7 linked regions of the Xenopus tropicalis genome follow. The protein of the gene in region 1 interacts with the protein of each later gene in a pairwise test. Links are inferred from orthologs where the notes say so. Each region holds a gene or a part of one and is shown on either strand. Other genes may lie near its edges.

Region 1 (3,500 bases):
AGGAATACTGAAAAGTACTGAACAGACTTAACATAATGGCACCTTTGTGCTCCATGACAGTACCTCAAATTCTGTTACACGCCATGACAAGGGAGCAGGTTTTTATGCAAACACATACATAAGTGCTGTACATAGTATCATACATTTCTTATTCAATGACACAAGTTCCTTTGGTCCATATAGTATAACTTGTGAGCAGGTATACAGTATATATATATATATATACATATGGCTCCTTAATACTATACTTTGTATGAGTGTTCAAGATCTGCCAATTAGAAATCTCGTTGCATGTAGTGTTAATGTGCAGTCCATAAACCTATGGTTCCCTGTCAAAACACTGAGTATGGTTTATCCACTGTAAGTCTGAGTGACAATGAAGAAGAGCTTGTGTGAGTGTTTAGTAGCTGTGTTTTGGCAAAGCCATTGGCTGGAATGTTGTCGGCGTGTATAAAGGCATTTGTGGTAGCTCTGCATATTCACTGGCTTCAGATTTCTGTAGCTGTGATTTCCTCAAACTGGATTTCGGCCCCGTGCAAGTCAAACTCGTCCAGTTCTCTTGCCTCCAGTTCTAAGGAGAGCTGCTTAATGTCCCTCTCCAGCTCGCGGTTCTGCTGGTACATCTGGATATAGTTATGCTGCAGCTGTTTTTGATAACGGATCACCTTCTCTTTTTCCTCTTGCCATATTCGCCGCTCATCTTCAAAGCTGTCAGCTTGCTCCTGATATCTCCTGCGTTCGCTTGTTAGGGCTTCCCTGAGACGCTCCACATACTGCTGCAAGCCCTGCAGGTTGTCTGCGTTCTGCCGCTGCGCTTTGGCCTCGTCACTTTCATATAATAAGAAAGGGTCCTCCTTTTCATGGCAAAGGCATAGTCCATGGCGCAGGTTGGCTACTGCTGCTTCCCTTAGGCCGGCTACTTCCTGGTCTAACTTGCTGGCTTTCTCCCGCAACAACTCTGCCTCATTCTTTTTGCGTTGGAGTTCATTCTCGCACACCTCCAGCTCCAGTGTCTTGGTGTGCGCCGTGTCCTGCAGCTCCTGTACCTGCTCTTCACTGATCTGGAGGTCGGATCGAGCCTCTCGCACCTGAGCCCGAAGCAGCAGTATCTCATTAGATTTCTGTGCCAGCTCAGCCTGGGAGTCCTTCAACTGTTGCTTCAGCAATGATATTTCACCAGATTTCTGGCAAACCTACGAGAATTACATAGGAACTGTTAATAGCTGCAAAGTTGGGAAAAGTTTTAGTAGCCTGTTATCAACCAAAGCAGCATCTTCTAATCACCAGTGAAAGCAATCTGATTGGTTACTCTCGGTATCGGAACCTGCTGCAAATGTCCAACGTTCTACTTTAATACTCTGGTGCTGTTTTATTATTGAGCTCTGTCTCCCTAAAACGTGTTCATGCCAGACACAACTGACTAGAACTGTGGGTCCTGGATTGAGCAGTTGGTTGCACTAGGAATGCTAATATAATGTATAACAGGGGTGTTATTACTACACAGTTGCTGTGTAAGCAATGGGGGCAGCCATTCAGATACAGGATACACAGCAGATAACAGTAGTATAATTAAAGTGTATACTACAGAGCCTGTTGGTTATCTCCTTTTCTCCATATAAACTATAGTAGGGTTTCAAACACACCACTGTTACGAGTGCAGGGCAAAACTACATTATATTTTCATTACAAAAACGTATTTTTTAGTGTTACTGTGTCAGTGCTTACAGTGAATGAATGTTACTGTATTAATGCCTCTGGCACTGGGTGCTTTTTTAAGGTAATCCATTCACTAGAAACATCAATTAGGCTATAATTTCCTAAAATGTGGTTCAGACTAGTCCTAAGGGGACCAAAAGCAGTGGATAAATACGGAGAGAAACCGCTTGAATGCTAATTATGATGGACACTATATGTTCACAGAAATACATTAAGGTGAATGATAGGACAGAGTCCTTTATATTTATACATTACAGGTATGAGATCTCTTATCCAGAAACCAACCCAATATCCAGAAAGCCCTGAATTACAGAAAAGCCGTCCCCCATACAGTCCAATGTAAACATTTATTCACATTTCATGGTAACTAAGCTGCATGGGTCCATATTGGTGGCAAAACAATCCTATTGGGTTAATTTCATGGTTTTAGAAGACTCAAGGTATGTTGATCTAAATTTCAATAAAACCCCTTATCCGGAAACCCCAGGTTCTGAGCACTCCAGCTAATAGATACCATATCTAGAAGTATAAAAATGTAAAAAACCAAAAGAGTTACTTTGCCACCAATATATATTTTTATGGTAGCTTAGTTACCATCATTCCTATTACAGAGGAAAAAATGGAACCATTAGGATATATATGCATATTTCCCTTAAACTGCTCCATGGAACATTGGAAGATGGCAGTACTGTTTAGGTCCTTTCTGGATAATGGGTTTCTGGATATTAGATCTCATTCATTTTATATTAAATTAGATCTCATATTCATATTGTATTTATGTATAAATAAGATAAACAGCCTTAAATAGACGTGTGCACAGTGAAACAGGCCTTCTTTTAACCTTGAAATATGCCATTCAGCTCTCCCTCCCCATGATATTTTCTTTGATATCGATGTGTCTTTTATATGACAAGACTGATTATCAAGCAGCTATTTAGGTCCATGCATTTGCGCTCCTTAGAGGCCATAACAAGTGGAAGTGCCAGTAAAGAGCTTTGGGGTTTTGCAATAAAACAAAGAATGAAATGGCAGTAATTGCATTGGTTTGTGGGAAACGCATAAGTAAAAGAGTTCTACAGATTCAATTCTATAAAATTTAGTTTACTGAATTTCCTGCTAAAGGAAATCTCTGCTCTTTGGAAACACATATAGTTGTAAATAAGGCAGCCTGACCTATATATAGAACATGTTGCTGATGGGACTATGCAGACAATAAGGATTCTCCAGATGTAGGTTAGGGTGACATTATGTCCAAAATACCATCAGAAAGAAAGTAGTTTTAGCTTTTCCCCAGAATAAACTTTACTAACAACTCAAGTAAGAAAATGCTTAAACAAATCATTAGGCGCCTTATCACTATTAGCCATAGGTTGAATGCCTCTAACTGCAATTAAATGAAAGATGGCTGGGTAATTTGGTAACTGGGCCCAGCTTTTGTACCTGCAGCAGATACAGCAGATGAGTAGCTAAGTTCTGATGAGACTTAAGCTTTACTGCCCGACAGCTCCACCCAAAGGTCAGCAAGAGAGACTACCGGGTTTAACACCTCGGGAATCGCCCGATGCACTTTCAGCGGGCAGCACGTGGTGGCAGGACTATTGCGTCATTCCTTGTTGATTTGTGTGCAAAGCACTATACCTGGGAACATCTGCCCTGATGACTACAAAAAAAGCTGCAGATGAACTTTCCTCTGATGGTGCAAGCAACATTGTAGTAGTGTAGTTTCCCTTTAAAAATAACTGGCCCGTGAGAGAACTATGTTATACAGAACAGAGAGTCCACAT
Region 2 (4,227 bases), on another chromosome or scaffold:
TTTTTTATGTTAATTTGTATCACCTTTCTATTCATCTTCCAGTCTCGCATTCATACCACTGCCTGGTTGCTATGGTTAACTGAACTCTAGCAACCCAATAGCTGCTGGAATTTCAAACATCAAAGTTAATTTATAGGTGAACAACCTATTAAAATTGACATTTAGAGGCCTACACAGCTCAATATCTATATATTTACATAAAGGAAATCTAATAATTGGATTTTCACTTTGTTGTGTTGCAGTGAACATAACTTTTTCTTTGATTTGCATATAGAAACTGAGAAAACAAACCTAGAAAGAGACTGTTAGGGCCTCTTAGGGCTCCCCACAGAACTTGACATTCAGGGCCCCGTCACAAAACAATTAGATGCAGAGAGAGGGCTGAATGTTATAAAATAAATAAATGAAACAATAACGGGCGGCTGGGGCAGGCCTATCCAACTGCGAATTATGATGATGGCTAATGTTACCTTTTTTTAACAATTATTTAATTCTCCTAATATTAATCAAAGCCTTTTATTGCCATGAAAATTTTGAGTACTGCCTTAGTATGAAATACAACGTTAACAATTAACCAGTAAAGAAAGTCACTGACAGAGAGCCAATTTCTCAATGTCCTTGAAAGTAAATGTGGGTAAAGACGGTCTGATTAAATTTGCACCCAAAAGACATTTCATTGCAGTTTTTACATAATGAAAATGGTATTTCTTTTTTTTTTTTTTTTACAATAGCTGCGTGCTGCACTTAAGCTGCATGCATGTGAAACTGTTTTTAAGCAACTGCACTGGCTATGCCATTATAATCCAACCCTGAATAGCAAGGCAGTGGAACAAAAATGCCAGTAGCCAGATATATCTAAAACAAATCTATGGTTTACTATGAAAAATAAAGCCTGTTAGTTTACATTAATGTTGATTTGGAAGTCTGTACTGATTTTATATTCACCAAATATTGCTATTATAACCACGTGTAAATAGGTTCAAAACTTTTCAGCTGGATAATATTTCAGAGATTCCACATCCAATTATGACTAATAATTAACCTAATGTATCTAAAGAACATGGATGTCAAATTCAAGGACATTCTTTTTCTACTCATCTGGATGTCACGTCAGAAAATGAACAGTGGCAAATCAATAGGGATGCACCGAATCCAGAATTTGCTTTGGGATTCAGGCTTTTTCAGCAGGATTCGGCTGAATCCATTGTCCTGGCTGGACAGAATCCTTAAAATGATGCGTCTTTTCACCAAATAAATGCGGAAATTGGAAGGTTTTTTTCCGCATACTGCACGCCCAGTTTTTTTTTTTAAGCTTCCCTGCCTTAGTTTGCACATGCAAATTAGAATTCGGATTCAGTACAGCATTCAGCCAAATCCCAAAATAGTGGATTTGGTGCATCCCTACAAATTAATCAATAATGTGAGCATCTGTTAAGGTGCAGGATTCTTTTAGTCATCAAAGATGACTAGTGTTTTTGGGGGCTGCACATTTAATGACCGTTATTTATTCCAGAGCAAAAAAATAAAACACAAAAAAAGTAAGTATAAACAATGATATTGGAAACAGAACATTAAACAGCATGGCAGGAAACTGTATGTACATGTACTTGATCCTGGGAGAGGAACCAGCATGTGCGCTGCAGGAACATCTTAACATAAAGAAAAGTGAAACTGTAATGCTACAGTCGCAAAGGGTAGGGTGTTCAGTTATACAGCCAAAAGTCCAATTATCCCTCACTCTTGGCCAACAAGAACTAATCCACTGATGAGCGGTTCTAACAAATTTTCTCTGAAACAAAAGTCTAGTCTCTCTAGGTGAATCATAACATTGGTCACTCTGAGAGTCATCTTTGTGATTCACTCCAGAACTCCTCCACTTTAGTTCATACTGGCCGCATCAGAGTTTGATCTTAAACGCAGTTGGCTGAACAACTGCCGAAGAGCCCGAAGATTTAAACAAGGCTTTGAGGATGGTGTCAGGGTCCACTTCAGCAGGTGGGTTGGATGCACTGGATGAAGATAATGTGTTTGATCTTCGAGTCTCCCCTTCTTTTTTTGTTGCAGATGGTGTGTCGCTGAGTCGCCTAAGGGAAAAATGGCATTAAGAAAAATAATGAAATAGACCGGCGCCATTCATAGAACCCTGAGGATATATTTGTTTCACATTCCTGAAAGCTCACTCTGAATTCTTTTAATAACTCTGTAAATACTCTGTATATTTGCTAGTGAGAGTGCCTTGTAGTAACATTTGTACAGACCCTGGAACAATTCTTAAACTTTAACTGAAGCCACTAGGAACTACATCAAAGTAGAGTCACTAGGAACTACATTAAAGTAGGGTCACTAGGAATTACATCAAAGGGGGTGCCACTGGTAGGCGATCACTGCTGTAGAGCAACCTTTGGGCACATTATTGCAGGCAGATTCGCCTGGAGATGTGGTTGTTGGACTTTTTCAGTTCAGACACCCCTTGAAGGTACAAACCTTTGGTAAGGACTACTTGTAACTTCTGGGGGGCTGAACCCACCCAGAAGGATTTGGCCGAATCCTAATTAGCATATGCTGAGGGATCGGAGGATTTTTTTTTCACTGCCCATTTAACCCTTACCAAATTGTAATTAGCATATAGGATTCAGTTCGGCAAGGACCGCAGATTCCGCCGAAACGGAATCCTTAAAAAAAAGCCGTGATTCAGTGCATCCCTACTTATAATGCATACCAAGGTAAAAGGTCTAGAGCAATGTTGGTGTTCCCATAATTTGGATCACTATACCTTATGGAGGGGACAATTATCACCAATACCGTGCATCAGATTAGCATTAAAGGCAAACAAGATTACTGATAAATCACCCTCTCGGTGAAATTATACTTACAGTAAGATAGGTTGGTCTGATGTTATGACACTGCCATTCAGATGAAGATTACACTTCATGGGTTGCCCTAAAATGAAAAGACATTTATTAGCTCAGGGAAAAAAAAGAAAGCTCAGTGCTCTTACCAGAAAAATATTACAGCAGTGTGTCATGAAAAGGTAGCTGGGTGGGGGAAAATGAAAATTAACTATGCTCCTTAAAGCCTTCTTCCAACTACACTCAGCTAATATACCTTTTTACAGAAGCTGGTAGGTTTGTGCACTTCTGAAGCACACTGTCCCGGCAATTCTGTAAAAAGTGTTATTGTCTATTAAGGCAGGCAATATGGGTGCAGGCAGAAATAAATAAGTGTTCAGTCTGTAAATCTTGACCTTTATAATAGTTACCTTATATAGCTGATCAATTTCTAATAGTATTACTTATTAATTTTAAATACTTATAAAACCTAGGGCTGCTACAATCTCTACATTATCTCTGTGTATGTACAATAAAATCAACTAGTAATGAGAGAGTGCCCTGTTTTAGCATATACAAAAAATATCAGTATAAATGTAAAACCATAAATAAGCATTCTTTATTTGGAAATAAGAATCTCCAAGTTCCTATTAAAAATACCGGTTGCTCGATGCAGCTATAGCCCATATACTAATAACCGAATTAATTTGTTAATAAATACATAAAAGAATAAATAGTGTATATAAAAAAAAAGAAGTGAAGAATAAGATATGCCAACCAAGGGCTCAATTTCACTAGTTTTCACCATATATTAATACCTTAGCAACTTTAAAAATTAAACTTATGAATAAATATCATGTATTAATGCATGAACTGTTACAATAACTTAGCAACCACTCCTTATGAATACATAACACCTGTGTTCACTACATTTTATTAATAACTTAGCAAATTTAGCATTTAAATGCATAAAAAATATCCCTTATTAATGCATTTACTATTACATTTAATTAGCAACCAATATCTACGTATACAAAACAACCGTCCTATAATGTGCACAATATTAACCCATTTCAAATGGCCAATCGGATATAGAGAAACTGGAGTAATAACCAGGTTATTTTCTTGCGTCTGTGGATTATTTCCTCACAATCCATAAGCATATAAAGGTGTGGATTAAGTTATATACCATACAAAAGGTCGCTCTCTCAGGAGCAGGACAGGGCATCTTAACAAATATGGGCTAGGCTGGGAGAACATTGAAGCTAATTAACGCAGGTACGTAATTAAGTGCAGTCACTTTCTCACTAATTAACTCACATCTTATTTAGATATAAGCTTTCAGAACTAACACACAAAATATATCTAATAGGTTATGTTTTCAGTATACATTATTTTA
Region 3 (4,191 bases), on another chromosome or scaffold:
TGCTTTTTTGCTCCATATTTTGGAGCTTTCTAGAGACCAAGTTTCTGGATAATAGATTCCAAAGGTAAGCATACAGCATGACTTAAGTGGCCATACACGTTAAGATCTTTCTCCCAGGGGGATATCAGGCTAATTTGATTGGTTGGCCCTATCAAATTACAATAACGGGTATAGGAGCCGTTGGTGCAAGGACTGCATTAATGAGCCAATGCGGTTCCCGATCTGATGGGAAAATCAAGCCTGCCCAATTGAATCCTGGCCAATTTTTCCCCAATTTTTCATGGTAGTCAAGGTTTTTAGATTTTTTGAACGCTCTATTTATTAAAAAACACCAAAAAATGTGTTTTTCGCATTTTTCTGTGTTTTTTGTTTGTGCTTTTTCAATTTGGATCTTTTAATAAATGACTAGACATTTGTAGTTTTAGTGGAAATTAGTTTATTTGTGTTTACAAAAAACTCAAAAGCCATAGATCTATCATCCATCTACCTGAAAAGCCCACAGTGCCAGCAGGGAGCATGGCACTAGCTGCAAAAGAAATGCTGTAAGGAGAAAGCAGGTCAGCACTCAGGTCTTATGAAGAACAAAATGGCACTTTATTTCAAGGAAACTAATGTTTTGGCTAGTGAGCTAGCTCCTTAAATAAAGTGCCATTTTGTTCTTCTTAAGACCTGTGAGTGCAGATATGTATATATGAGGATATGTTCCTCTATGGTTCATGAACATTATCAGAAAGTATAGTAGGTGATACCTTTTATTGGTTAATTTGGTAGGTAATAATAACATTGGTTATCATACCTGAAGCAGGGACCTAAGTTGTCCAGAAAGCTCACATTTCATAATCCACTAAATTAGCCAATACGAGGTATGACCTACTCTATATTTTCTGGTTTTGATTTATGGCTAACATGGTAGAACACTCTGCTACTATGGGTATAAACATTCTTTGAGCACAGCTGACAGTATTATCTATAAAGAACATAAGGTATTGCCCACAGCAGCAGTGCTGTCATCTCTGTGTGCAGCTGGCTGCCTGTTTTATGGAGTAGTTAAGAAGAATCCTCTTTATGATCCTGCTGGCTATATGTGATGTGCCCAGGCGTGCAGGCCAGGCGCACCTTCATTACGTCACTACAGGATTTGTTTAATCAGTAGTTATAGGAAAGGAATGTGATATCTCCAGGAGGCGAGAGCAGGTTGTGGGTGGTGAAAAAAGTACAGCCGTTAATTCCATAATTTATTTGGGTGCACTGGGGCAGGAAGTTTTAACACAGTATGAGATACCATGGAATAATACATGCTTTCCATGCTGGGATTCATATCCTTTCTCTGCGACTTACTAGGAGCTATATTTGCATTGCACAACATTTTAATCATAACATGTTAAATATCCATTTTGTCCTCTGACCCATTTACTGTAGAAATCCCTCCTTTATCTTCTCACTCCAGTCCTTTACAATCATTCCCGGATTTCACTCTTACTCATACTATGAAAATGCAGCTCCTTCCACTAAACTCATTCTTCTCCAATTCATTTCCTTTCCTTTTGTAGCTCAGAGTCTTTTTGCACTCTTTCTCTTTAAAATTTCTCCTTTGTCTCTCTCTTATGCACTCCCTCATTCTCTCTCTCCCTCACTCTCTTTCTTCCCCGCTAATGAAATGAATCTCTAAAGCTGCTTTGATTTAACAAGTCTCTGCAAAGCAGTCATGTGGGGAAGAAGAACAGTGAAAGAAAAACTGTAAGAGGGAGAAAAGGAGGGAGGAGAGTGCATGGAAATCATGAGTGAGCAAGGAGCCGCGTGTATACCTTGCAACACCCTAAGGGTTAGTCACCCTGGGAACACCCATGGGGGTGGGAAAAAGAGCAAGAAGGAGAATCTGGACTCACTGTCCCAGGCCGGAGCAAGGCAAGGTATGTACAACATAAAAGCTTAGACTTCTTTTGGATAAAAGAAAGCTTCTTTAGTTATTCTTAAGATTGTACATTCCTTTGAATGCCAGGTGATAAGCAGCAAATGCCCAGGAAAAGACACTTAAAGAAATACTTTTATAGTACTGAGGCTGTTTATATATTATATATATATATATATATACCAAGGATGAGTGAAAATAATTGCTGATAGGGAGCATAAAAATAGTTAATATACACTGGCATGTTTCACTTACGAAGTGGCAGATGTAAGTTGCAGGCTTCTGACATAAATAGTAGAAACAGATATACACTAAAAGCAATGTTGTCTGCAAAGCTTGCACTCTGTATAAATCTCATTTACACTACAGAACTTGCAGTATTGACATCATAAAGAGGGAAACTGAACCAGAGTTCCCAATTTTTAAGCTGTTTTATAAGTTTATATTCACTTCATTTTTAAATAAATATTTATTTACAATGAGATGTTTCTCTACATAACAGGGCTCATTTACTAATCACATGGGCACAATGTGTGGAATTTCAGTGCAATCTGCAATCTGCGCCTTGTACCAGACTAAAAGTCCTGGGCATGATGCAGAACGCTCCTGGTCCCTGATGGCTCTCCCTAGTTAGCCTGTCATTCAGATGCACAAGCTAAGCAATATCAAAGGAGATGCCCACCACTTGTCCCCTTATGAATTCAGTGCTGCTAAATTTAGGCAGCTTTGTACTCGGAGAAGTGAACACAGGATCTCAAGAGCTGTACCTTTGGGCACAATCCAAATTGGAAAGAACCAAAACATGGAACTTCCACATTTACATTTTGCATCTTGCCTTGTGTATAGGAAATGAGGACTAAGGACTCTATATGAGTCATTACAAATGCAGGTAAGGTGCTTTCAAGCTTGCTCCTTGCACTCGCATATAGTTGCATTAAGCGACATTAGGGCTCATTTTTGTTTGTGCAGTGGGCAACTTGTGCTTTTCTCTGCCATCAGTTAAACCTAAAACCACTTTTATTAAAGGTATTTGCATCAAGTAACTTCTCTATAGTTCCTTCAGTCCTTCCTGCCTTCCATTCAGAAACAGGCTGTGCTGCACTTGTTGATACAGGGGAACCCTGACCAGGGGGTAGCTCCAGGGTTCCCTCAGTCAGGGGCGCTGCTACCAGCAGCTATGGCAAGTGCCCCCATAGTTACCAGGGGCAGCAAAAAGTTGCTCCTAGTAACTTTAAGAGCCAAATTTCTATTTTTTTAAAACGGAAATTCGGCTCTTCTAGTGTAGAGAGCGCAATTGCACTCCCCCCCTGGACCCCCTTCAGTGCTGTAAAGCTAAGTGATGGGGGGCGGCATCGGAGGGGCCGCCTCAGGGGCCGAAAATGTCCCTGCCCTCAGCGCCCTGTATAAATAGGCGCAGCACACTTGCACCTAAAGTACTGGTCACTGGAAATGATGCCGGGCAGACTTAGAAAATATTTGCCACAACAACAACCGATTTGCAATGAAGTGCATGCATCTTATTGAATCGCTATAGCAACTGTGGTGGGCACAGCCCAATTGTGTCAAAAGAACAGCCAGTTTGTGCCTGCAATGATGCCAGAATTATGCCAAAAAAAAGCATTGTGGGAAAAACATGGTAATTGTACTTGATATTGCACTTTGTACACTGCATCTAAGTAAGTGAATGTGCTCTTTTGTGTCCACCCTGCCTCTCTTACTGAATTATGCACATTTGTAGTGGTAAATCTAGTGGGGTGCATTGGTTGGGGTAGAAGAATTGCTCCAAAAAATCACACAATAATTCTGTTTTAACCCCATGTCCCAGAAGTGCCAGAATCTCTGCTTTGAAAATGCTAGCATCTGATTTGCTAACATGCACATGTGCAGTTTTGATTAATTGGGTACAATTGTGCTAGAGCACTGCATTTAGAAATTACTCTGCTATCGGTCATTCAGAAACAGCACTCTCTATTGGGCAAATTATTAAGTACTACTAAGATACTGGAGAAAACAAAGCAATAAGGAAATACTTATGCTAGGTCTTAAAGTTATACTGACACCAGAAATTAACCTTTTTTATACATCTATCATAATATTGTCTTTGCATGCTATTTATAATTTTGCCTTAAAAGTATTTGCCTGATGTTTTTACATTACCTATCTGATGCCCCTCGTTCTTCTATGAGAGGGAGGCCATATTTGTGCAGCAGGGGTCCGTTAGCATTAGAAGTTGTAACTGACTGGATGAGAAGAGACAGTCAGGTTGGCAAAACAGTCAAGTT
Region 4 (4,058 bases), on another chromosome or scaffold:
ACTATTACTGGCGCTCACTGTACAAGGGGGAGACTATTGCTGGCGCTCACTGTACAAGGGGGAGACTATTGTTGGCGCTCACTGTACAAGGGGGAGACTATTGTTGGCGCTCACTGTACAAGGGGGAGACTATTGTTGGCGCTCACTGTACAAGGGGGAGACTATTGTTGGCGCTCACTGTACAAGGGGGAGACTATTGTTGGCGCTCACTGTACAAGGGGGAGACTATTGTTGGCGCTCACTGTACAAGGGGGAGACTATTGTTGGCGCTCACTGTACAAGGGGGAGACTATTGTTGGCGCTCACTGTACAAGGGGGAGACTATTGTTGGCGCTCACTTACCCAGCAGCCCTGGCTTCTCTGCTCTCAGTCCCAACATGATTCACAGCAGAACCCTATGACTCTCCTACCCCCTCCCTCCCTCCCTGCCATAACTCACCCCCCTACCTCCCAAGCCAGGGCCCCAGTGCCTACATGTCCTGCTCCGGCCACCCTTCCCTGGCTAGGGGTCCCTCCCATAACCCTTCCTACCCCACTCCCATTGCCCCTCTATTCCCATCATTCTACCCTATCCCTGCTCCTCTCTTGCCCCTTCACCTGCTCTCCCCCAATAAACCTCTTGTTAAACAACCCCCCCCCCCCCCCAGCCCCTCTACCCAGGATTCCCTGCCGCACATCCCCCCCCTGTGCCCACACACACACACACACACACACACACACACTAGCCAGGCTGCAGTCGGCCCCGCCGGGCCTCACCTGAAGCACAACTTCCACATCGTACGAGTTGCCTTTGCTCTTCTGGTGGCCCCGGAACTTGGAGCCGCTGTAGAGGAGGGTGGTGGCCACGCCGGGCTGCTGGGTGTTGATGGGAGGAGGAGGAATAAGAGAGGAGTATCCGGAGGCCGCGCTGTTGGCCTCGGTACGGACCGGCATATCCAGGGCCGAGCCCCTCTCCCGCTGAGGCGGCTCCACACTAGGGCTCGGCCACTTCTCCACTCCCGGCCCGAGCACCTGGGCCTCTCCAGCACCGCGCAGTCCGATTGGCTGAACGAAAGGCCGCCCACCGCGCAGCACCGCCCCCAATTGGCTAAAGCGGTGACTCGGCGCCGCCGGGAAATGTAGTCTAGCTAAAACTGACCAATGGAGACCAAGAAGGGCTCGGATTGGCTGCTTGCCGGACGTGACGACAAAGAACAAGTCAGGGTCACCAAGATGGCTGCGCCCGGGTGAGCAGGCTTTCTGTACATAGGGGCTGGGACTGGCAGCGTGTTCTCTCTGGGTGTAATGAGCGCTGAGCCTTGTGGGAAGCCTTGGGGAGAGACCATTTCACAGCGGCAGAGGGGTGGTCGCTAATAAATATCTACTGATAATCCTTTGCCCCTCGGCAGGTGCTGATGGGAGAGAGTCCTGAGCAGAACCACTGACCCCTCCCTTACTATACCATGCTGCCCAGTCTGCTAGCGATCACTGCCCGGAGGCTGCGTGTATTCCCGGCGGCACTTTGCGCTCAGACGCGTCTCTATGCAGCCGCTGCTACCGGTAAGTGGCACCAGGGAGTGGAAAGGGAGAAAAGGGGATTTGCCAGTGCATTATACTCCTGTAAATATAAAAGCAATATGTCATTAAGGGATATATATATATCATGCTGTGTAAAAAGTGGAGTAAAACATCACCGGTGATGTTGTTTATAGCAGCCAATCAGATGCTTTGGTTTTCTAACTGTTGAAATGTAATTGCTGATTGGTTCCCCAGGGCAACATCACTGGTAATGTTTCACTCCACTTTTTACACAGCATGATAAATATACCCCTAAATATTCCATTTTCTGCTCATTTAAACCCTACTAGTCCCGCCCATGGGTTCCACTTCCAGCCCTACAGGGAACAGTAGCAGATCTAGTATAAACGGAGAGCTGTGATTGGCTGCCTGCCTCCTACTGAGCTTTTGGCAGAGACCATTAGGGCATGGCATTATGGGGGCCCATCAGACACATGGCGACACAAGGATGAGAACTGATTGAATGGGAAAGTGTCTTGGTGGGGGGTAGAAATCCTGCTGAAGAAAGGGGGCATTTTTAAAGCTAACAATAATCCCCCCCCCCCCATTTTTTTAAATTCCACCTCTCCAGTCTATACCATTCCTTTAGCTCTAATGTTACCTATTCCCCCAATTCAGTGTAGCTCCTTCCAAATGTCCTTCTCCAGAGCCCCCACTTATGCTGGACTTTTGTGCCTTCTCTCTTACTGCCCCCTCCGTGTTACTGCCCCCTCCGTGTTACTGCCCCCTCCGTGTTACTGCCCCCTCCGTGTTACTGCCCCCTCCGTGTTACTGCCCCCTCCGTGTTACTGCCCCCTCCGTGTTACTGCCCCCTCCGTGTTACTGCCCCCTCCGTGTTACTGCCCCCTCCGTGTTACTGCCCCCTTGGCCAGCTGCCACATCCGCACCCATTCTCTGCCCTTTAGCAGTGCAGTTGCCCTGAGGGGAAATGTATTACTGCTTGGATAGTGTGGGTATGAACCCAGTAGAATTCTGCATTTGGTACTGAGGCATCAGTCCAATGTCTTACTCTATTATTTATTGATTCAATTATTTTTTTTTTATGTTGCAGAAAGAAAGAAGTTCTATGAAAATGTCAGTATTTCCCATGGAGAAGGTAGGTTTCACACAGTCCTTTCCAGAGCTGCGCGTGTGGCTTTATCTGTATCTTTAAAGCACCCTGTGCGGGTGCTTGTACCCTCCTACAACTGACGCAGATGGCGACACATTCGGCAAACCTTATCCCAGGCTGGTGTTTATTTCACAGTTTTTTAAGTTACCTAAAACATAGCACTATAGCAACCACCATACAGGCCCGGACTGGCAATCTGTGGGTTCCGGCAAATGCCAGAGGGGCTGCTGTGAGATGCCATAGACCAGCGTTTTTCAACCACTGTTCCGCGGCACACTAGTGTGCCGCGAGATGTTGCCTGGTGTGCCGTAGGCAGGGCACCAATGTACTAGGGGGGCACTGCTCTTGGCACCAATGTACTAGGGGGGCACTGCTCTTGGCACCAATGTACTAGGGGGGCACTGCTGCTGGGCACCAATGTACTAGGGGGGCACTGCTGCTGGGCACCAATGTACTAGGGGGGCACTGCTGCTGGGCACCAATGTACTAGGGGGGCACTGCTGCTGGGCACAGAGTTAAATTTTTTAACATTTTCTAATGGTGGTGTGCCTCGTGATTTTTTTCATGAAACAAGTGTGCCTTTGCCCAAAAAAGGTTGAAAAACACTGCCATAGACAGTCACTATTTATTGGGCTGATGGGGGGCCTCTGTGTACTGGAAATACTAGTACCAGTCCAGACCTGCCTCCATACACCAGCATTGGTATAAGCAATATTGGTCAGAAGCAGTGACCCGGTGGCTGCACTTTCCTTCCTGCTTCCCATGCAGCCAGCCATTGGGCCCAATGAACAGATAAGTGCAGTTTGGCCACCCCTGTGTCTAAATAGAAGGGCATTTTGCCCTTGGGTCCGGCCGCATATAAGATGCCTATTCTGACCCCTTTCTTTTTGTAAATAGAAGGTTGAAATCTATAACCTTTAGCTTGTAAATGCAGCTACTGTCTCTTCCCTCCAGGGGGGTTTGAAATTAACCTGGATCGACGGAAGCTCAGGACGCCACAGGGGAAAATATTTACCGCTCCGAGTGAGGCTTTGGCCGTAGCTGTAGCTACAGAGTGGGACTGCCAGCGAGATGTGATCAAGTTCTACACCATGCACCTGGTAAGGATGCCCTTAAACCCCCACCTCTGCCAGCTTGTATTCATCCGCTAACTGTATTGCCTTCTCCCTGCAGACCACACTGTGCAACACGGCCTTGGATAACCCCACGCTAAGAAACAAGGAGCAGCTTATTACGGCAGCTCTGAAGTTTTTGGAGACTGACACAGTCTGGTGAGTGCCATGTATCCAGTTACTTGATCCATAAGCCTCCATTAGGATTAGATTCAATATCCGCTACTTACCTTATCCCCTGGGCTCTTCTGTAGTGACTTAACAAAGAGCCAGCAAAT
Region 5 (3,500 bases), on another chromosome or scaffold:
CAGGTCTAGTAACCCATGGCGACCAACAGATTTGTTGCCATAGGTTACTACACCAGGAGCAATCATACCTCCTTAGCCTTTGGCACAAAGTCTTTTCAGTCTGCTTTATTGGCTAGGAGCTCACAATCAACATTCGGGAAGCATTGGCTGTGGTTCATTTGGCAAGTGATCCACTGATGTCAATATCCTTGCCCAGTAAAACCACTTCATATTTGAACACCCCAGTTCTCTTGTAGGTTTGCTCATATGATATGCTCCTCTTGAATCCCAGACCATAGAGTGTTTGTGTTTGGTTCAAGGGGACAAGTCAGTATCCCTACCCATTATATTTAACTGATGCTAAGAACATTGATATATTTGCATTCTTTGCAGATGGCAGCTTTACAGAGTCCTTTCTATGGAGACAAAATGAGCTTGTTTTCCCTGTGTCAGAAGATTGAGCAGTGCGACTACCCCCCTCTGCCCAAAGAACACTACTCGGAGAAGGTAAGCGCTCAGTATATGTATGTATATCTTTATTTATAAAGCGCTACTTATGTACGCAGTGCTGTACAGTAGAATACATTAATACAAACAGGGGGTTATTAAGATAATAATAGATAAATACAAAGTATAACAATAAATACAAGGTACAGTTGCAATAAGTTGAGTCAAAAAGACACAATAAGGATGGAGGTCCCTGCCCCGTAGAACTTACAATCTAGATCTATATGGCTATATATATATATATATATATATATATATATATATATATATATATATATATATATATAGCAAACACTTATTTACTTTATACTTATTCCAGAATCTCTAGTAACCCTATTGATGCAGCATTTAGATTAGCAGCAGTGATTTGCGGCCCAGATGTGGAATGTCCCCATACAGCGGCTGCAGTATTCCGCGGGCCGGCACACAGACTCTGGGCATAATCCTGCCAATAGGAAGCTGCCGCTGCCGTTTGTGTATTTCACGCTCCTGTAGCACACGGCTCGGCGTTTGCCTGCTGGTGGGAGGAATTAGTGTAAGCTGACAGATGTGTTTCCTGTCGGTACAATTAGTGTCTGTCCACCTCCCTCTGGCAGTGCTAAAGAGCACATGTACGTACAGTGATACAATTCAGGGTGCGAAGGAGAGTTTAAGGCTCCAAAGCACCAGCTCGGGCAGAGCCAGGCGCCAGATGGTGTGCATACACTATTAGCCGAGTGCTAGAATGGGAGCGCGCGGGGCAAGCCCTTTGGCTCTGGTGTATCTGTCTGTACAGGCTGCTTCTGCCAGCTCAAATAGTACATTGTCTGTTCTTAGACACTGGCTGCAGAGTACCATCATCTCTGCTTTATACAAGGTGGAGCCTAATACAGATACTCAGTGTCGGACTGGGATGCCAGGGGCCCACCAGAAACCTTAGACTGTGGGCCCACTCTCCAAACTAATTTTCATCCACTCCTCACTCAACATTTATATTTTCCTAGTCTTTTATCTTTACATACAATAATCTATTTTTCTTTATTTTTAGTCTCTTTGTTCCCATAGAGAAATATTGAATGACCATAAATTAGACCAAATGGTAAGAGGCAAGAGGGCCTACTGACACCTGGGCCCACCAGGAGTTTCCCTGGTATCCCTGTGGGCCAGTCCAACACTGCATGAACTCCTTTCATTCAGCAGCAGGCCCAGACTGGCAATCTGTGGGTTCTGACAAATGCCAGAGGGGCTGCTGTAAGAAGCCACAGACAGTCACTGTTTATTGGGCTGCTGGGGGGCCTCTTTGGGCCTCTGTGTACTTGCAATACCAGGGCTTAATTTGAATCACAACCTGTTCAGGTAGGCAGTTGCTGGGGCACTATGCAGACCAAGTCAGCAGCGTATTAGCCTATCTATGGGCCCCTTATGATGGTCTACCTGACCAATTCTTTTTAAATATCTATTATACAGGTTAGAAAACAAATAAGGACAGTCTCTTTAGTGGCACAACGGTGGTTAAATCAAGCAAAATCCACTCGCTTGCTGAACTTGGCAGACAATCGGATCTTGCCATGAGTGCCCACCTTAACTGTTACATGAGACAGAAATAGACCATCCTCCAGGTTGTTCTTTTAAGCCAATTTGTGCTGCTTGTGCTTCATGGTAAGACTTGGTAAGGGGATAGGAAGTGTCCCAAATATAAAGCTGGCCATACAATACTGATAATATTGATACGTGTGGGTACCCGGCTCAAGGGCCCACCACCCAGTCACCGCCATTCCCCACATGCCCCCAGTAACCACTGTTCTTGCTCCACTGCACTATTTTGCTGATAAAAATGAAAGATGGGCGTGCATTCCACTGTGGAATGCACAGCCATCTTTAATTTTTACAGCAAATAAAGTAGTGGAGCAGGCAGTGGTATTGGCTAGGGGAAGCTAGCAGGGCACTGCAGTTTTTCCTGGTATATGAATAGGCCAGTTTGACCCTGTGTACCAGCCTGCCAGTCCCAATTGCCAGTAGCTGCCAGTGTGCCATATCTGCCAGTGTATGATGCATGGCCAGATGAGATGGGTATGAATGGGAACAATAGAAAGGTGGCTATGCAGCATTTGACACAGGAATGGCTGCTTTAAGGTACAAGCATGTATTTTTTAAAGATATTATTAATGTTAATTATGTTGTTAGACCCTCCATTACTGGCTTTGGTATTGGGGCCACTCCATCAACCCAGCATTTTCCCCCACATACAACACACCAGTAATTGCACGACAGTTAATAAACCAGCCAGTTGTGCGATTAGTTAGACACCATGTTCATAGCAACATTATCCCTATGCTGGCCCATGCAGGTTCCAGTAATGGCTTGGAGCCACTCAGCCCATCCAGCTCAGCCCTTAGCCCATCCAGCACAGACTAACAACTGCCTGCGTGGCCTTTGGCCAGCCAAGGTTTCTGTTTCTGTCAAAAGATGAATCAATATTGGAATCAATTATCAAGTTACTGGCAGTGTCAGCTCAGCAGCCAAGGCAGGTTTTGTAAGGGACTCGAGGGATACGGGGACACATTATGCGCCTATTCTTTCCCTTCCTCCCGCGCACCACAAATGCCTCGCCATTGATCATGTTTGCTTGTTGTGTTCTTCTTTTCTCCCTGCTGAATGTCCCCCTGGGAGTGCAGAGCTGAAGCTCGGTGTCTTACTGATCAGCTCGGTAATTCCCCCGGGCCTTGATCTTGTGTAACCCAATAAAGATCCAGACTAACATTGCTCTTTCACTCCTCGCTCACTGCACCGCTAATTCTGTTTCACGGGCGCTGATCGGCTTCATTATGTGTGATAAAATATTAAATGCTTCCCCTGTTTTAAACCAGTGTAGCAACTTGAAAATTGCTTTTCTAGCTGCAAAACAATCAATTCCCTATTATTGGGCTTCTATCTGCAGCCGAGCAATTAAATCATAAGGATTCCAGTGATTCTGGGGGGTTGGGGGAGAAGGATCAGAACAGCTTTTCCAGCGGCTTTTTGGGAAGTGTATTTTA
Region 6 (4,111 bases), on another chromosome or scaffold:
GCTGGGGCCCCCCTGTATGTGCCCGGCCAATGGGCCTCCTCTTCCCTGGTTGGGCCCTAATACCCACGGGGCCCCGGTACCGAGGGTCAGTAAGTACCAGTTGGGCCGGTCAGTACCGCGCTGCCGCACACACGCTGATGTACAGAAGCTCAGGCACAACAGGGTGGGGCAATAAAGCAAAAGCCCCGGGGGGGGGGGGGTAGTTGTGTCAGGTACAAACAGAAGCTGAGTGGAATCAATTAGACTCACCTGCTCCCAAACCCACGGGGGGGGGGGGGGGGGGTAAATAATAACCCCTATTGGTACTGAGGGTATTGGGGGCCCAGTGGGGCGCTGAGAAACACCTCAATACCCCGACTTATCCCCAACTTCTAGGGGCCCCTGTCTGTCTGTCTCTCTGTGTCTGTCCCTGTCTGTCTCTCTATGTCTGTCCCTGTCTGTCTGTCTCTCTGTGTCTGTCCCTGTCTGTCTCTCTATGTCTGTCCCTGTCTGTCTGTCTCTCTGTGTCTGTCCCTGTCTGTCTCTCTATGTCTGTCCCTGTCTCTCTGTGTCTGTCCCTGTCTGTCTCTCTATGTCTGTCCCTGTCTGTCTGTCTCTCTGTGTCTGTCCCTGTCTGTCTCTCTATGTCTGTCCCTGTCTGTCTGTCTCTCTGTGTCTGTCCCTGTCTGTCTCTCTATGTCTGTCCCTGTGAGACTGTCTCTCTGTGTCTGTCCCTGTCTGTCTCTCTATGTCTGTCCCTGTGAGACTGTCTCTCTGTGTCTGTCCCTGTCTGTCCCTGACAAGTCTGTCTCTCTGTGTCTGTCCCTGTGAGACTGTCTCTCTGTGTCTGTCCCTGTCTGTCTCTCTATGTCTGTCCCTGTGAGACTGTCTCTCTGTGTCTGTCCCTGTCTGTCTCTCTATGTCTGTCCCTGTGAGACTGTCTCTCTGTGTCTGTCCCTGTCTGTCCCTGACAAGTCTGTCTCTCTGTGTCTGTCCCTGTGAGACTGTCTCTCTGTGTCTGTCCCTGTCTGTCTCTCTATGTCTGTCCCTGTGAGACTGTCTCTCTGTGTCTGTCCCTGTGAGACTGTCTCTCTGTGTCTGTCCATGTCTGTCTCTCTATGTCTGTCCCTGACAAGTCTGTCTCTCTGTGTCTGTCCCTGTGAGACTGTCTCTGTGTCTGTCCCTGTGAGACTGTCCCTGTCAGACTGTCTCTGTGAGACTGTTGTTCTGTGTGTTTAGTGGAAACACAGCTCAATACAGCAGATTGATTGGCGGTTGGGGCAGGATTGGGTTGGGGGGGGGGCAGGATTGGGTTGGTTGGGGGGGGGGGGGGCCCTGCTGCCAATCAGCCGCTCAGACAATCCAATTGTTCTCTGTTTACAGTAAAGTTTGGAGCAGAGAATAAATCAGCTCTGGGGCAGAACCAGCGCCCGGACTCACCGGCTCCAGCGAGAGAGAGAGGGACCTCCTGCCCCACAGCACCCAGGGGCCCCGGGGCCACTCACAGGTCAGACACCGACTGGCACCTAGTGGGCACAGCAGCCTGAGTGGGAGGGCAGGCTGAGTGTGAGTGCAGGGAGGGCAGCCTGAGTGTGAGTGCAGAGGAGAGAGGGCAGGCTGAGTGAGTGCAGGCTGAGTGTGAGTGCAGGGAGGGCAGGCTGAGTGTGAGTGCAGGGAGGGCAGGCTGAGTGTGAGTAGAGAGGAAAGAGGGCAGGCTGAGTGTGAGTAGAGAGGAAAGAGGGCAGGCTGAGTGTGAGTGCAGGAAGGGCAGGGTGAGTGTGAGTAGAGAGGAAAGAGGGCAGGCTGAGTGTGAGTGCAGAGGAAAGAGGGCAGGCTGAGTGTGAGTAAAGAGGGCAGGCTGAGTGTGAGTAGAGAGGAAAGAGGGCAGGCTGAGTGTGAGTAGAGAGGAAAGAGGGCAGGCTGAGTGTGAGTAGAGAGGAAAGAGAGCAGGCTGAGTGTGAGTGTGAGTGGAGAGGAAAGAGGGCAGGCTGAGTGTGAGTAAAGAGGGCAGGCTGAGTGTGAGTAAAGAGGGCAGGCTGAGTGTGAGTAAAGAGGGCAGGCTGAGTGTGAGTAGAGAGGAAAGAGGGCAGGCTGAGTGTGAGTAAAGAGGGCAGGCTGAGTGTGAGTAGAGAGGAAAGAGGGCAGGCTGAGTGTGAGTGTGAGTGCAGACAGCACTAAGTGGCCCCCAGGCTGCAGGGCGGTATAAGGGGGACAAGCTAATAGAAGACTCATTACAGACAGGGCTGAGTCACATGACTGAATGGAAGCAGAGAGGCTCATGGGTACCAAGGGAAGTGAGTGATAACTTGGGGTGTCAGTGTTGTACGGGGGGGGGTTTATCCAATAGGGGGTGGGGGGTACCGCAGGGGTGTGGCTTATGGATTTATTGGGGCTGCTGTATTTGCAGACTGGGGACACAGTCACATTTGGGGGCTCACCGGGGAAGATGAAGGGAGTAACGGCTGAGGATGTGCATCACTTCCTGCTCCACACGGTAACACTTCCCCCCCATCTCTATCTGCCCCCTGTATCTGCCCCACATCAGCTTCACTGGCACCGCCCCCTGCTGGTCACTTGTCTCACAGCTTGTGGCCCTTCCTGCCCATTGGATCAGATATTGATTCCCTGAATACTGTGCCCCAATGGCGTGTAGCCTCAATGGGGCCCCTGGAATTACACCCAACTTGCCTGCAGGGCCCCCTAGTGGCCACACAGGGAGTGGCATCCAATTCATCAAAACAGGCTAAAGGGGGGGGCACTTACACCCCAAGTATGTGTGGGGGCCCCTCAGTGCACTTCTGTTACTAAATGGCCCTTTATGGCTCTCTTATTATTTAGGGCCCCAGTCGGGGCTTTATTGCCCGATCCTGCTGTATTGCCCCATACTTGCCAGCAGGGGGTGGTAGTTAGTAGGCAGAAAGCCTGGAGCAACCTTACTCCCCCCCTCCCATTACCATGGGAAACTGCCCCAGGAGCCAAGTTCTCAGCCCCATGCTGGGGGGGAGTGGGGGAGCATGGTACCCCAATATTGGAGACCCCCCATAACCCTTTAACCTTTCCCTCTGCTTAATGCACTGATTTGGGCCCAGAGCTGCAGGAAGGGGCAATAAATGGACAGAACTAGGGCTGAAAGGAGGGGGCAGGGGTAGTTCCTTATTTACCCCCCCTAAACCCAAGAGATAGATTAAAGGGAAAGTTCAGCTTAGATGAAGTTGCCTCTGGTTCCTTACTTGCCCCACTCTGCCTGCCTCCAACTGCGCCCCCTGCAGGAGCACCCCTAGTTCCCAGGCCCCATGCTGTGCTTAATAGCCCCCTGCTTGGTGCCCCCCTAACCCCGCTGCTTGCCCCGGCAGGAGCACCCCTAGTTCCCAGGCCCCATGCTGTGCTTAATAGCCCCCTGCTTGGTGCCCCCCTAACCCCGCTGCTTGCCCCGGCAGGAGCACCCCTAGTTCCCAGGCCCCATGCTGTGCTTAATAGCCCCCTGCTTGGTGCCCCCCTAACCCCGCCGCTTGCCCCTGGCAGGAGCACCCCTAGTTCCCAGGCCCCATGCTGTGCTTAATAGCCCCCAGCTTGGTGCCCCCCTAACCCCGCCGCTTGCCCCCGGCAGGAGCACCCCTAGTTCCCAGGCCCCATGCTGTGCTTAATAGCCCCCTGCTTGGTGCCCCCCTAACCCCGCTGCTTGCCCCGGCAGGAGCACCCCTAGTTCCTGGGCCCCATGCTGTGCTTAATAGCCCCCTGCTTGGTGCCCCCCTCACCCCGCTGCTTGCCCCGGCAGGAGCACCCCTAGTTCCTGGGCCCCATGCTGTGCTTAATAGCCCCATGCTTGGTGCCCCCCTAACCCCGCTGCTTGCCCCGGCAGGAGCACCCCTAGTTCCCAGGCCCCATGCTGTGCTTAATAGCCCCCTGCTTGGTGCCCCCCTAACCCCGCTGCTTGCCCCGGCAGGAGCACCCCTAGTTCCTGGGCCCCATGCTGTGCTTAATAGCCCCCTGCTTGGTGCCCAACTCACCCCGCTGCTTGCCCCGGCAGGAGCACCCCTAGTTCCTGGGCCCCATGCTGTGCTTAATAGCCCCCTGCTTGGTGCCCCCCTAACCCCGCTGCTTGCCCCGGCAGGAGCACCCCTAGTTCCTGGGC
Region 7 (4,178 bases), on another chromosome or scaffold:
CCTGGATGTGCTTATGGCATGGCTCAGCTCCGCTAATAGGAATAAGCTTTATGTCCTGTGCATACAGCAGTCCCATTGCAGCTTAACAAAGGCAGAGTTTTTCAAGTAGGACAATAATTATTAGCCTTAATATCGCCTCCGTTCCTGAACCCCGATGGAAATGGTAGAGTAGGAATTACAAGCCACACACACGATTCCAGCCCCTGATCGCATACAAATTAATGTAATAAAATATACATGATATTCCTGGCTGACTGTCTGGCCCTGCCTGGCGGATTGTAAGGGTTCAGTCCCCCCTGTGTTAACTCTGGTGTCTCTTTTTCTGCTCAGTCTCTAAATCATTTGCATGGGAATGAAATATGAAAGTGAATTAAAAAGTTAATATTTAATAAAGCGAACACGACTACTGATCAGCATTGCTGCCTGTGTGTATGAGTGTGTGAGGGGTGGATTCCAGAAAATATCATTTATTTATCCCTATTAGTATTAATAATAATAATAAAATAATAATAATAAAAAAAAATTCTCACTACTGAAGTGATATTCCGCTCCATATTACTATTATCTGGAAATAAAACAGGCACTTTTTAAAGCTGGATTCTGATCAATCACCCTGAAATAATAGGCAGTATATCACATTGGGGGGTACACTGGCCTTTCCCTTTGACCCTCAGCACAACAATCTTTGCTAAAATCGCCTGCGATCTCCCCAATTCCTTTGGTTGGACCGTTGCGTAAACGTTTACGCGCAATTCTTCACAGCGTTTTGTCAGCCTGCACGGATATTAAATCCACAAGCTGCAAATCCCACTCTCTCCATCCAAGGCTTTTATTGTGGAGTTTGTTCTGGATCCGTGCCCAGTTTAGTGGAATATGGTTTTTAAAGTGCAGTTTAACTCCCATGCATAATACCCTCATTTATCAAGGTAAAATGCTTTTAAACCGATCATTACATCTGCAATTGCTTAATATTAAGTGGGAAATATAAAAAGGTACTAGGTGCCATAAACACATCCACCTCGTAAGAGTGGTGATTTTGCAAATGGGATCGGTTGCCTTTATGAATCATTTTCACCTGTGCCGACCAGATAAATGGCTGTACAATCGTCCAAACAGATCGCACGGCGGAATTGCACTAATACAAGAGGTGATCATTTTGCATTTACAAACTATTTTATGCTGCCTGCCAGATACTTTGCTGTAGGGCATATATATTATGAATTATGTACCTTTAATACGGTATATTAAATATTGGAAGCTCTTTTTTTCCCGTCTTCTTCCAGTGGTTAAATATATAAATCGCCGGCGATATTAATATAATATTTTCGTAAGGCTGTGAAATATAATGGCTGGGGCAGGCTTGTTGTAAATCCCCGATCTTATGGGTAATTTGGTAAGAAAATTTAGATTCTGGGAACGTTTCTGCTACAAATATTAACTGTGCCTGGATATTCCCCCCTCCTGTATATTTTACAGATTGTGGTTCCTTGTGCTGCTAAGTTATCCGTGTTATTATCGTCGGGGATTTGTAATATTTAGCCAAGGATTTTCCTAGCTGAATATTTCGTGTAGATATAAATATAAGTATTTCACCTCTGCCAATAACATGGGGCCTTATGGTTTAAAATATAAATCCTGTGGCTGATTTGTCGGTAATGTATAAACACTGGGGCTGATTTGAGTCTAGTAATATTGCAATAAAGTCGCACTGCTCTGGCTGAAATGTATATATATAATTGGGGGGAGTTTTATTCGATATAAGGAAAGTGTTAGTTTACCGTGTGGCCTGTTTAATTGGGGGGATATGGTGTAAATACAGGGGTTGCCTTGGGGGGTATATCTTGGGGCTAATTCCAAATATTATGGCTGATTTGGATCCAAGTTATTGTGGCTGAGGGTGGAAATATTGTGGCTGAACTTTGTTTGAGATATAAATATTGAGGAGGGATTTGATTACAAATATAAATGTTCCTGGCTACTGTGATGGATACTGTGGCTTGTTTAACTACCTGTGCGGCTGGGTGACTACAAGGTGGAAAGATTTCAGGCTATTGCCGGTGCCTGGGGGGCTCTCCCCTGTGTTTGCCCTGCTGGCCAGGAGCACATACACTTCCTGACGGTATATTGCCCTTTTATTGCCCCCTTAGGCTTTTGTCTCCCACTTCCTCGGTGCAGAACTTACTTTGATGTGTCCTGTCTTTGTCCCCGCTTCCTTCACACAGTTTATTGTCCGGGAAAGTGGCCCTTTCATTGGCATCTTCTCTTGCAGCAGGCGAGCCCAGATTGTACTGTTGGGCTCCCAGTTTGTCCAGCTCCCCCGGGGGCCCCAGCAGCGGCTCAGACTTCACAGTTCCTTGGCCAGGTCCATTCTCTGCTCTTTGCAGCGGCTCCAGCCAGCCCCGTAAGTACCTGCCCTCCGGAGTGGGGGCGCCCTGCTGGATGTAGGGGTGGTAGACAGAAGGCAGGGGGCTGGCTGGGTGGGGGTTCAGAGGGCTCCAGGACGCGCTGAATACAGGAGCTTTGGGCTGGAAACTACAGGAGGGAAAGTCCAAGGGCTCAGAGTGAGCTGAATGGGCTGCTGGCCGGGGGCTGGGGTACTGTCCAGAGAATTTGGCTGCTGGAGCCTCCTCACTCTCAGGGCTTATTATTGACTCCACAAAATAATTACTGAGAGTCCCAGAAATGGCCATTCTCGGGCATCCTACTCAGCAGCTTCATTGAAGGGAACAAGATATAGGAGCTCTCCCCTCTCCCAACTTGCTCGCCAACTCGGTGCACTTGGGCTGCTGGCGTGTGAGCTCCTGGCAAATGATTGGTCAAACTTTCTCCGTGTGCCTGATAAAGCGTCAGAGGGCTATTCATCAATCGGAGGGGCCGCACGGAGCTGTCAGCATTCATATCTGGGAGCCATTGTTTTATGGGCATGAGGGCTGGGACACGCCTGAGATCCGACCAACAACGCACTCCTCAGCCAACAATTTGAAACTTGGGTGACACCTATTTCTGTGCAGGCTCTGGTGCCTTTTAGTGAAGCCACAAGACAATCTGGCACAGGGGGGTCTGGGTGCAACAGCTTGGGAGGGCGCAGCAGTCTCTCATTCAGCTGTGCGCAATTGGCCGTGTGCGCAAATCAGTGCGCAATTTAGCAGAACGGTGCCTCTCGCTGCCATAGCATGGCGGCTGCGTACAGTCTGGCTTGTACAGTACGGATTATAAACAGTATATTTATAGTTAGTGGCCCCTTTCCCTACACTGACTATATGCAAAATAACAGACACCAATTAGGTGGATATTGGATGTGGATATTTTATGCCCCCTGTATCTGGAATTGTGTTTCTATTCATATGAATACACCGTATTTCCCAGGCAATGTCCCCATATAATGGCAGATATTGCAAAATGTATATGGTGCCAATCATTTCCTAGGAGGCACTGCTGATTGATACCTTACACTAATTTTATTTAACTGCCCTTCCCCTACCCAGTAACACTATTTACTCACATTGTGCCAAAGTGCTAGTGTCCCTATGACCCTGGTTTATTTCTCTGCACTAGTATGAAATGGTAACCACAAATTGTCACCAGTTACAGACCATTGTACAGTGCCCAGCCCTGCAGCATGTATATGTATGTTCTGCACTACTAGCACTATGTCTGCTTGTTTATTTTAACTTTATACAATTGCCTGTACCCTGTGCAGCACTGATTTAAAGTGGTGGCTGAGGCCTACAGACTGGCCCATAATATAATCAGATATATAAGTAGTAATTTGCCATATTTATATCCTACACTGCACTACTGACACTATGATCCCATTTGCTTTCTGTATAACTACTTATGCCCTGCCTCTCATCCAATAAATATATTTTTACAGTCACATATTATGCCAAATGCCTACAGCTTATATACTGCCAGGTGTTGCCATTCTGTACTGCGCTACTGACACTGTGACCCCACTATATCATTTCTCTCTGCCAAAGATACAAATATAAGATGGTGCCTACACACTGTCCCATATTGTGACCAAATATTTATAACTCACAGGCATTTTATATGGTGCAGCTTTATCCAAGATAAGTGACTCTGTGACCCCATGGTTACTTTCCATTTATATAACAGCTTACCAACCATAACATGGGGCAAACATTTTGTCCATAATTACAAGCTTATATTGTATT

What was found.
Region 2: the proteins of lzts2 (region 1) and poldip3 interact in a two-hybrid assay, tested with the Homo sapiens proteins (2 studies listed by BioGRID). The two-hybrid records come from large-scale screens. The link is inferred for Xenopus tropicalis from reciprocal best matches to the Homo sapiens genes LZTS2 and POLDIP3.
Region 3: the proteins of lzts2 (region 1) and rin1 interact in binary tests that used the Homo sapiens proteins (3 or more experiments, as listed by UniProt). The two-hybrid records come from large-scale screens. The link is inferred for Xenopus tropicalis from reciprocal best matches to the Homo sapiens genes LZTS2 and RIN1.
Region 4: the proteins of lzts2 (region 1) and atpaf2 interact in binary tests that used the Homo sapiens proteins (3 or more experiments, as listed by UniProt). The two-hybrid records come from large-scale screens. The link is inferred for Xenopus tropicalis from reciprocal best matches to the Homo sapiens genes LZTS2 and ATPAF2.
Region 5: the proteins of lzts2 (region 1) and nek6 interact in binary tests that used the Homo sapiens proteins (3 or more experiments, as listed by UniProt). The two-hybrid records come from large-scale screens. The link is inferred for Xenopus tropicalis from reciprocal best matches to the Homo sapiens genes LZTS2 and NEK6.
Region 6: the proteins of lzts2 (region 1) and mab21l3 interact in binary tests that used the Homo sapiens proteins (3 or more experiments, as listed by UniProt). The two-hybrid records come from large-scale screens. The link is inferred for Xenopus tropicalis from reciprocal best matches to the Homo sapiens genes LZTS2 and MAB21L3.
Region 7: the proteins of lzts2 (region 1) and hoxb9 interact in binary tests that used the Homo sapiens proteins (3 or more experiments, as listed by UniProt). The two-hybrid records come from large-scale screens. The link is inferred for Xenopus tropicalis from reciprocal best matches to the Homo sapiens genes LZTS2 and HOXB9.

The regions. Positions count from the first base shown.
Region 1 is NC_030683.2:29,793,038-29,796,537, reverse strand, and holds part of lzts2 (leucine zipper putative tumor suppressor 2 homolog), read right to left. Parts: intron 1,194-3,500; coding exon 489-1,193; 3' UTR 1-488. UniProt on the Homo sapiens protein: Negative regulator of katanin-mediated microtubule severing and release from the centrosome. Required for central spindle formation and the completion of cytokinesis.
Region 2 is NC_030680.2:115,098,187-115,102,413, forward strand, and holds the end of poldip3 (polymerase delta-interacting protein 3), read right to left. Parts: intron 2,941-4,227; coding exon 2,874-2,940; intron 2,085-2,873; coding exon 1,898-2,084; 3' UTR 501-1,897; downstream 1-500. UniProt on the Homo sapiens protein: Is involved in regulation of translation. Is preferentially associated with CBC-bound spliced mRNA-protein complexes during the pioneer round of mRNA translation. Contributes to enhanced translational efficiency of spliced over nonspliced mRNAs.
Region 3 is NC_030680.2:38,263,206-38,267,396, forward strand, and holds the start of rin1 (ras and Rab interactor 1), read left to right. Parts: upstream 1-1,391; 5' UTR 1,392-1,768; coding exon 1,769-1,910; intron 1,911-4,191. UniProt on the Homo sapiens protein: Ras effector protein, which may serve as an inhibitory modulator of neuronal plasticity in aversive memory formation. Can affect Ras signaling at different levels. First, by competing with RAF1 protein for binding to activated Ras.
Region 4 is NC_030685.2:15,293,304-15,297,361, forward strand, and holds the start of atpaf2 (ATP synthase mitochondrial F1 complex assembly factor 2 precursor), read left to right. Parts: upstream 1-1,258; 5' UTR 1,259-1,442; coding exon 1,443-1,539; intron 1,540-2,608; coding exon 2,609-2,653; intron 2,654-3,622; coding exon 3,623-3,768; intron 3,769-3,841; coding exon 3,842-3,939; intron 3,940-4,058. Other genes in the region: gid4 (glucose-induced degradation protein 4 homolog), read right to left, coding at 757-933. UniProt on the Homo sapiens protein: Plays a role in the assembly of the F1 component of the mitochondrial ATP synthase (ATPase).
Region 5 is NC_030684.2:29,167,123-29,170,622, reverse strand, and holds part of nek6 (serine/threonine-protein kinase Nek6), read left to right. Parts: intron 1-372; coding exon 373-486; intron 487-3,500. UniProt on the Homo sapiens protein: Protein kinase which plays an important role in mitotic cell cycle progression. Required for chromosome segregation at metaphase-anaphase transition, robust mitotic spindle formation and cytokinesis.
Region 6 is NC_030678.2:1,122,862-1,126,972, reverse strand, and holds the start of mab21l3 (protein mab-21-like 3), read left to right. Parts: upstream 1-1,311; 5' UTR 1,312-1,486; intron 1,487-2,386; 5' UTR 2,387-2,425; coding exon 2,426-2,473; intron 2,474-4,111.
Region 7 is NC_030686.2:12,098,380-12,102,557, forward strand, and holds the start of hoxb9 (homeobox protein Hox-B9), read right to left. Parts: upstream 2,801-4,178; 5' UTR 2,691-2,800; coding exon 2,183-2,690; intron 1-2,182. UniProt on the Homo sapiens protein: Sequence-specific transcription factor which is part of a developmental regulatory system that provides cells with specific positional identities on the anterior-posterior axis.